3 linked regions of the Kluyveromyces lactis genome follow. The protein of the gene in region 3 interacts with the protein of the main gene of each other region in a pairwise test. Links are inferred from orthologs where the notes say so. Each region holds a gene or a part of one and is shown on either strand. Other genes may lie near its edges.

Region 1 (3,254 bases), on a different chromosome or scaffold from region 3:
AACGCAAGGCAATACGCAACTCCACGACTAAAAAGAATGGCGTTAAATAAATAAGGGATTTATTTCTCTGCGAATTTATCCGTTATTCAATGGAATACACTCTCATCAGTAGGCTGCATTTTCCTCCAGATTTCCTTGTTTGTTAATTCAAGCTGTACTATATCGCACCTTAAAAGGATTCATTAAAATACTGCTGTGATTTTGAGGATTCCACCAATACTATTCACATTCATTTCTAATAGAATAATATTCACTTCGTCAAATAACCGAAGTTTCATTCATTCATTCTTTCTTTCCATATCACCATCAGCATCCATCATTGCTTTTATATCTTAACATATATGTTGGCCAATATAAAAAGGCCATATGTATCCGTTGCTATCGATTTCACAAAATATCATATATTTACTACTATTTATGAATTTAAACATAACACGACAAATCAGTATTGAGTTAATGTTTAACAGAAGTTATGGCAACCTGAGTAATGAACGTTTACGATAATCTAACCAGATCCGTCTATGGAAAGCTGTTAAATAAAATGGATAACACTACATGAAAATGCGATGAAAATGCTAAAAACTATGATGACGGTGAGAAGAATGAGAAAAAAAAAGTAGCCTGTATTCATTTCTTCAAAATTGTGACAACATCTTCATCTTCTAATGTGTGATTAAGCCCCACATATTGAGGTTGATGCTTCACACTGCTGCCGTACACTAAAGCATTTCTGAAGTCCTCAACTAAAGATTTGTGAATTTGGTTACAGAAATCTCTTACGGTACACCTATCCGACCTTAACACCACTGGGTCTGTGAAATCAGGCATCGTACCCTTTGGCTTAGTATAAACACGGACTAAGTTTAGTCTATCCCACATAACTTCTAGTAGTTCATCCAAATTCCATTCCTTACCAGAAGAGATTGGAACTGCATTTGGAATTCTGTATAAAAGTTCCAATTCTTCTAATGACAAAGAATCTATCTTGTTTAGCACATAAATAGCTGGCATATACCTTCTTGATGGAGCTTCAAGTACATCAATCAAATCATCGACGGTGGCATCACATCTGAAAGCAAGCTCCGCACTGTTGATTCTATATTCACTCATAACAGCTCTAATTTCGTCCGGGCCTAGATGCGTCAATGGTACTGTATTTGTAATGGAGATACCACCTTTTTCCTTTTTCTTGATTAAAATGTCTGGAGGTTGCTTGTTCAAACGGATACCAACACCTTCCAATTCCTTTTCAATGATTTGTTTATGATGCAATGGTTTATTAACGTCCAAAACAATAAATAGTAGATTACAAGTTCTGGCCACAGCGATAACTTGTTTACCACGACCACGGCCATCTTTAGCACCGTCAATGATACCCGGCAAATCCAACATTTGAATCTTAGCACCCTTATATTTGATGACACCTGGAACCGTAACTAAAGTGGTAAACTCGTACTCAGCAGCCTCAGATTCTGTACCAGTCAGCTTAGAAAGTAAAGTACTCTTACCCACTGAGGGGAACCCAACAAATCCGACTGAAGCAACACCGGTCCTGGCCACATCGAAACCAACACCGGCACCACCACCACTACCGCTTGAAGCAGCCTGCAATAACTCTCTTCTAAGTTTCGCTAGCTTAGCTTTCAACTGACCCAAATGAAAAGAAGTGGCCTTATTCTTTTGGGTACGGGCCATCTCATCTTCGATGGCCTTAATCTTCTCTACTGTCGTAGACATCTTTTATTTCAATTCAGATATTGATCAGGAAATTCTTCAAAATAAATCCTTTTTTTATAATTTGATGCCAACCTCAGTGGAATACTGACTGATACCTATCGATTCCAACCGTTTAACTGATTTTGGCCTCTGTAACCAAACTATAATGAAACTCTAATATCATTAATCCTAAGCGATGAGATTGTGAATATCTGTAGAACTTCCTACTGTTGACAAAGATGAAGCTGTCAATTTTTTTCAAGCCGTCCAAGGTGATATTTTATACATCTTCAACGCCGATCGTAAATAGCGATGCTGAATGGCATCGACCGGTCTTCACCCCGAAAATAAGGCTAATGGGACCTTTCTGGCCCCTGAAAGATGAATTTTGGGCGCACCTCACCAAAGACAGGGTAATCTAGTATGTTATTTTTTTCTTTCCATCGAGGTACGTATAATCATGAACTTGAAGTTTTTCATCAGTTTTTTATTTTTTAGTACAGGTTTTTCTCACAACTTAAAACTATTTGAAAGATTGTTTTGCGTAAGATCAATTAAAAGGATTTTACATTATCTCTTTACTTGTTATAACCCTCTTTTACACTTTGTTTGCTGTCTATCATAATAAGATTTCGGAAGAACTGTAAAAGTAGAACCTTTGTATCCGAAAGAGTAGTTCAAGATGGCGAAAAAATCAAAGAAGAATCAACAGAATTACTGGGACGAAGAGTATGAGGAAGATGTTCCTCAAGAATCTTCAGTAGAACCCTCGATAGATGGTTCTGTTGAGCCAAGTGGTGAAACCGAAGTTGCCGATGCATCTGCCATTGAGGAAGATTTTATGTCCACTTTGAAGAAATCTAAGAAGAAGCTGGACAAGAAGGAAGACGAGGATACTAAGAAGCCAGTCTTGAAGTCCAAGAAGGAAAAGGAAAAGGAAAAGAAGGAGAAGGAGAAGGAGAAGAAGAGGGAACAAGCCGCAAAGAAGAAGGCTCAGCAACAAGCGCAGAAGGAAAACAACAAGAAACTTCATGCTGAACAAACTTCTAAACTGAAGGCTGAAAAGGAGGCTGGCAAGTCCACTGAAGGTGCGGCACCAAAGGCTGCACCAAAGAAGAAGGTCCCAGCCGGTCTTGCTGCTTTGAAACGTCAATTGGAGTTACAAAAGCAGCTAGAAGAAGAAGAAAGGTTGGCCAGGGAAGAAGAAGAGAGATTGGAGAAGGAAGAAGAAGAAAAGTTGGCCAAGGCTGAACAAGAAAAGGAAGAAGCTAGAAAGGCTAAGCGTGAGAGAGAACAAGCTAAGCGTGAAAAGTTAAAGGCAGAGGGTAAACTTCTAACTAAGAAACAAAAGGAGGAAAAGAAACTGCTTGAAAACAGACGTGCTGCTCTATTGGCTGCCGGTAACATCAAGGTTGCTGGTCTAGAAAAATCCGGCGATGAGCATCCAAAACCAAAGAAGGTTGTTTACGGTAAAAGAGTCAGAAAGACCAAGGAACAAATCGAGTCCGAAAAGGCAATCGAAGAAGAGAAGAAGAAAG
Region 2 (4,091 bases), on a different chromosome or scaffold from region 3:
ATCTTCTTCCACAAACTCGCTACGATTTGTAGGTTTATTAGCATTCTTGATTGCAACTTTTTTACCGATTTCCATTACTTTTACGAGTAGTGGAAGGATATAAGTCAATGCCATAGATTGGAAAGGTATTTGTCTGCAACCATGTTTGATTTTGAATAATGCAGTTGAAATCAGTTCCAATTTAGTCTCTGAATTCAGATCTGAAAGAAGATGAGGAACTCTATGAACTATCATCGTTGCGTAACCAACAGTTTTAGCGAACATTCCTAACCTATCATCCAACAAAAAGGATAATTGCAAAAATACGTCAAATCCGAGTGATCCAAATAGCAAATAAAAGTTTTTCTGTTGTAGAATATCTAACAACGAATTCACAGATGTGGGGAACCAATATTTGATACCATTATCCAAAAGATTTGCTTCAGAAGCCAACTGAGAAATGATATCAATAACGCATTTCACAGATAAAACGAGCTCATTAATACTTGATCTAACATTTGATTCCTTTTTCAACTGTTCGTCGACAATCTGTTGTTCTTCCTTGTTCAACTTCTTTGAACCTTTCTTGGCTTGGTCCTTTCTTATACTTTCTTGCCATTTTAGAATTTCATAATCCTTTGAATTCTTGTTGTTTAAGATAGCTGATTGTTTTGCAGAGAGTACATCGACGACAAGTGTACCTTCTTTTCCGTTCCAGATTTCAATTTCTTGTTCTGTCACAGCAGATAGTTTTGTTGTATCCAAGTTTAATTGAATCATGCTTGCTACCAAAGGTGAGGTGATCTCAGGATTGATAAATGAGAGGTGAGAAATGGCTTTAATAATGGCTCTTCTTAATTCTGGTGTTGTTTTATCAGCGCTGTTAAGCAAATACATCATATTGTCGAATAATTTCTCACCGTATTGTCTCACTATTTCAGAAGGATCCAACTCTGCATTAAGGACTAAGCCAGCCCATCCATTCTTCAATTTAATGCCGTCTAATTGGGATAATACTAACAGCCTTGTTAACAAATGTACGGAGACAGACTTATCCGAAAGTTTCTGAGATAGGGTATTGAATAAAGGTGCTGCAAAACAAAATGATATACGCGAAAGAGTATCATTCTTTTGTTTTGACAAAGTTTCAAAAGCATCAATTATTGCATTGCCGACAAATTGTGGGTTCCTGTAAAATGCGCAGTTTAGAAGCTGTAAAGCTTGCTTTCTCTGTTCAAAAGGCACTTGCGTGGATAGGGTAACATATATCCAAGAAAGACCGTATGACTCCTTGTGTGCTTCAAGGATGTCATCGATTTTGGAAAGTATTGCAGTTGCACTCAAGTCAATAAGATGTTGAATGTAAACGAAACATCCATATGCTGAACCTTCTCCATTTTTTAATGGATTATTACAGACCTCCTTCAGATATGCAAGTGTTTCGTCTTCGAGCTGAACAATGATATTTAGTTTTGCAGTGTTTAGGTTGCTTAAAAAAGAATTGTACCATATCTTTCTCAAAGGTAACTTATTCTCATTAAAACCGGACTTTATGGCAGCAATTGAAACTTCGTCTGCTGTTTCTAATGAGGACAAATGGTGGAAAAATGCTGATAACATAATATTCAATGCTGTCTCATTGGATTCCTTCGAAATATAAGTTCTCAACCCATCCACGATTTTTGAAGACACTTGATTGGAGAAAGTTGGTACATTTATTAACAAGTTGGATATAATAATCTTATAGTCGGTATTCAGGTTGGTTTTCATGTTCTTAAAAGCCTCATCCACAAGTTTTTGTAAAGATGATTCGTCACAGGAATCAGAACATATTGACCTCAATAATGATATTAGGGACTTCAAGGAGCTTTCACGTACGATATCTTTTGAGCTTTTGAATGATGTAAAGGTTTGAGTAATGCATTTTGATGAAACAAATAAACCCAAACTATTAACTTTGTTAGAATTGAACGCCGAATAGAATTCAGCAGATTGGGTGAAAGATGTTTCTGGTGATCTTAAATTTGCTTTCTCAAAGCTTGGAATCAAATGCTTCTGAACTTGTTCTTCAGTAACAAATGAATATAGGAATTCTTTCAGGAAAAGTTCCAAACAGAATGCTGAAGGCAACTCTTTGGCGAGGATAACTTCTTTACCGAGATACTCTACTAATCTTTCAGTCAACTGTTCCAGCGAATGCAAAGGAATTGGTTTCTTGGCTTGGCACTGTAATACAGAATGAACTAGGGATCCCAGAGTGATAACTACACCAGTATTTGGAAGCTTCAATTTCGAGTAGTTGTCTAATAACAATGGAATAACATCATCAACAATATTAGATTTTGAATCTGTAGTAGATTCCAGGTTCACACAACTAACGAAACTCTTAACAGATTGTTGGAAGACACAGAGCCTCAATCTCTTACGATGTTGGTTTTGCTTATTCAAATCTTTCTTAAAAGGTTCATGGGTATCTAGGATAGTCTCGATAGCTGCTACAAGCATCACATAAGCGTGGACTATTTCTTTCCAATAAACATTGAAGAGCTCATCTGATTGTTCATAAATCAAATTCAAAAATTTAAGCACCCATTCCAATAAATTTAAATAATCAGTAACAGCTTTAGAAGGGCAGTTTTGAGTGCTGGCAGTCTTGATAACAAAATCACTTATCTTTTTACAATAGATGGGGTCGGTTTCAAACAATTGGACCAGGATTGAAGTGACTAGAACTTTTGATTCTTTATCCTGATATAAATCATAAGTGCTTAGTACGCAATTGAAAATCAATTCCAACGCCGAGCTATCAGTTTTACTTTTATCGTTGGATTTTAACAGTTCTAGGGCACTTCTTAATACCGGTAGCCTGACTGTCAATAAAGAAGCGTGGCAGTCTCTGTAAAGAACAGGCTCTAAATTTTCCCAAGTAGACATCCGTAAATACTGTTGAAAAATGAGATGAGACTTCTCAACTATGTCGTACTTTTAATAAATTAAGAGTCGGTAATTTTCAATGGCTTGCCGCTGATAAGCGTCTAAAACAACATTGCTTAAATCACAACTCATCTCTGAAATAATGAACTCTGCTCTTGTTTAAAAAACTATTCAAGATTTTAACATACAAATCTGAAAAGCTTTGGTGAAAGAAAAAAAAAGTACAAGATCAAAACGTACAAAATGATGTATTGTAACTAACTTGAGGCTAATACTATACTTAATATAATTAGTATTATAATCATCCCATTGATATATTAATGGGCATAGTAGTTCGCAAGTGATACTTTCTTTAATGTGCGATTTGTAGCAGTTTCACATTCAGTTATCAATTGGACTTTCCACTTGGTTGGACAACACAGAGTTTGTCCAGAAAATTACTATCATTTTCTATGAAGAAAAGAAGGTACGATATTATTTAACTATACTGACGCTGCATGATAGTGACTAGTATGGTTGAAACAAAATAATACTGAAAACTTTCAATTATAATACATAAAGTCATATAATGTGTAAGGTCAAGTCTAAACTTATCGTGTTCAAGACTTGTTACTTTGGTTAGTCTTGGACCTTCCAGTGCCAATAGTCAAGTTTGAGATTGTCTTGGTGATCTTTTCAAAAGATTTGAGATTTGGTGACGGTGACGGTGACGGCAGGTGCGGATTACTATGTGTGTGAAGTGGAAGATGAGGAGATTGCTCTTGAGATTCAGGTCTCGTTATTGAACGCAAAGTTGGCTGTCTTCTTTGTTTCATCAAAGTGTCATCAATTTCAGACATATCTTGTGCAAGTTTTTTCTTGAGAGTTTTGATTTCTTTAGAAATATGCAAGCAGTCCTTGCATCTAACCATCAATTTCACGTCACTCACTAAGACTGCAGATTCGTAAATTAGTTCCATGACATAATCCACAGGTGGGAGTGAATTTGGTGAAGCAAGACTATCTAAAGTGGATAACTTCTGGTTGTGGTACGGTGGATCATTTCTGACTTTACCGCTAAACAAAGACGGTTTCTTCGTATAGTTAGAGCCAGATTCAGTCGATCCTCGAGATAAGGGATCAACTGAATCCTCTAGTTCTAGTGCTCGTTCTCTGAAGGACCTCTCTATTTTGCTCTT
Region 3 (2,617 bases):
AGCTCCTGCTTCTCCTTCAATCAACAATAGCAATAATGCTAACGTATTCGAGAGCTTCGGTGTTGATGGTGAAGATGATGACGATGATGAATTTGGTGATTTTCAAAGTGAGAAAAGTCCAGTTCCACCTGCATCTGGTAACTTTAACAGTTTTGGTAACGATAATAATAATAATAATAATAATAATAAAACCTCTAATAATAATGCTACATTGAATGATCTTCTAGATTTCGGTGGATCTAGCAGCACCACGACGCCAGCCGCGACCAACAATAACAACGCCAGCACGAAATCCGATGCTTTTGCTGATCTATTCTCTATGTCCAAAAACCAAATATGAAACTCCCAAGTATATCAACATAACAATTCGAATCAAGAGGCTCCCTCGATTGAATAGCATTAACTATCACATGGCTAGTGGGACTTGTCATATTTTATATTCTTACAACTAGAACTCACAACCCCTACTATTATTATTATCATAATTTTCTTATCTATATACTGTAAATATATGAAAAAAATTACCTGACCTTGCACCGTGAGACTTTTACCTTCATTAATGAGAAGGTGTATTAACTATGCTTAGTCTAAGGTTTAAAGTGATGCCATATTATGAAATCAATCATTAGAAGTGTTATAAAAATATGGAGAATTTAAACTGCTATGGCTTTTACACCTTCTGAGATCAAAGATTCATTCTCCTCATCCAAATCCTCATCGCCAGCAAGTCCTTGTTCGAAGATCTGTCTACCAGAAAGTCTCCCCTGGTGGGCAGCAAGACGTCTCTGGGCGTCTCTTTCGTCCAACCCCAGTTCTTTCCTAAACTTGGCTCTCCATTCGATGTATGATTCTCTTGTCACTTTAGTACCTCTGAACTTTTTCTGTTCCTCCTTTTCACGTTCCAGCAGCAACCTATCATGTTCTTTCTCCAGTTCACTTAGCTTTTCTTGGAACCACTGTTCGGCGTAGTCTTTGATGTTGGAAATCAAAGCGAAGCACATCTGCATCCCAAGAAGCATATCTTCTTGGATTTGTTCATTCAATTTCTCGATACATTGCGGTATAAATTCATCGAAATGGATTTTATCAGGTATATTTTCGAATTTTGATACTATCGGGTTACCATGGTCATCGTATTCAATTTCGTCCTTATCTTCATCGTCCTCGTCATCCACATCTTCATCATCTCTGTCGAATTTTGGCACTTCTTCCGGCATAATCTTAATTAGAGGTGCTTCATCGGGGTAATTTTCTGGTAGAGTAAAAATAGTATGCAAAATATGATCATTAGTTATCGAATCCACGGTGTATGAAGAATCATCCAAGGGTACGGGGTCCAATTTGATATCAATTTGTAATTCGATCTCTGGGTACTCAGAGTTCAGAACAGTAAATTCATCTGGATAGATCGACTCTAGAATCTCAAGTTCCTGCGTCTGTTCTTCTTTATAGTCCATTGTGTAGTTAACTGGAAGGGGTTAGGGCGTATAGAAACAATTAGGTAAACTCTCAAAATGTGTATTCAGTACATTTCGTAACACGCTTCCTCTGCATATAACTGGACTGGCCGTACAAATTTCAACTTGACAATGATAATGATGATGATGCTTGAAAAATCTGACAGAGTGAGAAGTGTGCTAAAACAGATACAACATTACCCGGATACAGAATGTACCCTCTTCATTTTCTATCACGTGGATTAAAAACTCAGTCATGCAAAAACCCGATTACTACCTAAAGGAAACTGGCGGAAATAAATGCTTGGCGCAGCCAAAAGAGGTGAGCCTCTCTGTCTCCTAGAAAACCCACAAGACCCCTCTAGGAACAAAAAGAAATAAAATATACCGGTTCCAGTCCTATCTCATTTTTCATACACACACCCAAAACTAGTGGAGAAACTAGAGGAAATCAGCCAGAAACCTTTGATTGTTAATCACGTGCATTACATTTTCTCCTCAAAACTTCCGTTTTCCGGGTGTCGCATTCTTCTGTGTCCGGGTAATATCCTCAACACAGCCGTTCCGGATTTCGATACGGAAAAATTCCAGTTTCGAGGTGCAGTCACTTCGCACGGTGCACCTTGAAAAATGGATTAAGACTCGTCTGGCCTGCTTTCACTGAGCAAAAAGCCTTTTAATATGGTTCAATGACCTGCATTTGTACGGGCAATTCTGAGGGTTGTCATATTTAAGAGCACCCAGATTTCCCATTCTTGTGAGTTTCTGGGTGTCAGTCAGACTTAACAACGACAGGTATCACTAAAGGTTTACAGACGTATATATATATATATATAACCTAGGTATTGTCACATCGCTTGGAGAGTTATAATTGGATTACCATTCTTGTTATCTTGGCTCCTTTGTAGTTTAAAAAGTAAGGCATTTTAGCAACACTTTTGGTGGTATTAATTGACGAAATATTGCTCGAAGACAAGAATTCTGCCATCTAAGTATATATATTATCATCAATGAATTATACCAATTACAACCATAGTGCTAGCATTTCGTCTCGTTCAACACAGACTTCGTCTGTGTTTTCGAACGAAAATGAAGATTACGATGCTAGAATTCGCGAGATCGAAGAGTACTACATCAAGACTCTGTTGAATGATGATGCG

The links.
Region 1: the proteins of GIR2 (region 3) and RBG1 interact in binary tests that used the Saccharomyces cerevisiae proteins (3 or more experiments, as listed by UniProt). The link is inferred for Kluyveromyces lactis from reciprocal best matches to the Saccharomyces cerevisiae genes GIR2 and RBG1.
Region 2: the proteins of GIR2 (region 3) and GCN1 interact in a two-hybrid assay, tested with the Saccharomyces cerevisiae proteins (2 studies listed by BioGRID). The link is inferred for Kluyveromyces lactis from reciprocal best matches to the Saccharomyces cerevisiae genes GIR2 and GCN1.

Annotation. Positions count from the first base shown.
Region 1 is NC_006042.1:2,172,573-2,175,826, reverse strand, and holds RBG1 (GTP-binding protein RBG1), read right to left. Parts: upstream 1,738-3,254; coding exon 628-1,737; downstream 1-627. Other genes in the region: KLLA0_F23309g (uncharacterized protein), read left to right, coding at 1-54; FUN12 (translation initiation factor eIF5B), read left to right, coding at 2,399-3,254. UniProt on the Saccharomyces cerevisiae protein: Involved in ribosomal function.
Region 2 is NC_006042.1:1,148,697-1,152,787, forward strand, and holds the start of GCN1 (Gcn1p), read right to left. Parts: upstream 2,914-4,091; coding exon 1-2,913. Other genes in the region: KLLA0_F12452g (uncharacterized protein), read right to left, coding at 3,513-4,091. UniProt on the Saccharomyces cerevisiae protein: Ribosome collision sensor that activates a translation quality control pathway when a ribosome has stalled during translation. Directly binds to the ribosome and acts as a sentinel for colliding ribosomes.
Region 3 is NC_006040.1:1,411,230-1,413,846, reverse strand, and holds GIR2 (Gir2p), read right to left. Parts: upstream 1,458-2,617; coding exon 654-1,457; downstream 1-653. Other genes in the region: ENT5 (Ent5p), read left to right, coding at 1-340; putative mRNA-binding protein CTH1, read left to right, coding at 2,468-2,617. UniProt on the Saccharomyces cerevisiae protein: Acts as a negative regulator of the GCN2 kinase activity by disrupting the GCN1-GCN2 interaction in amino acid-starved cells.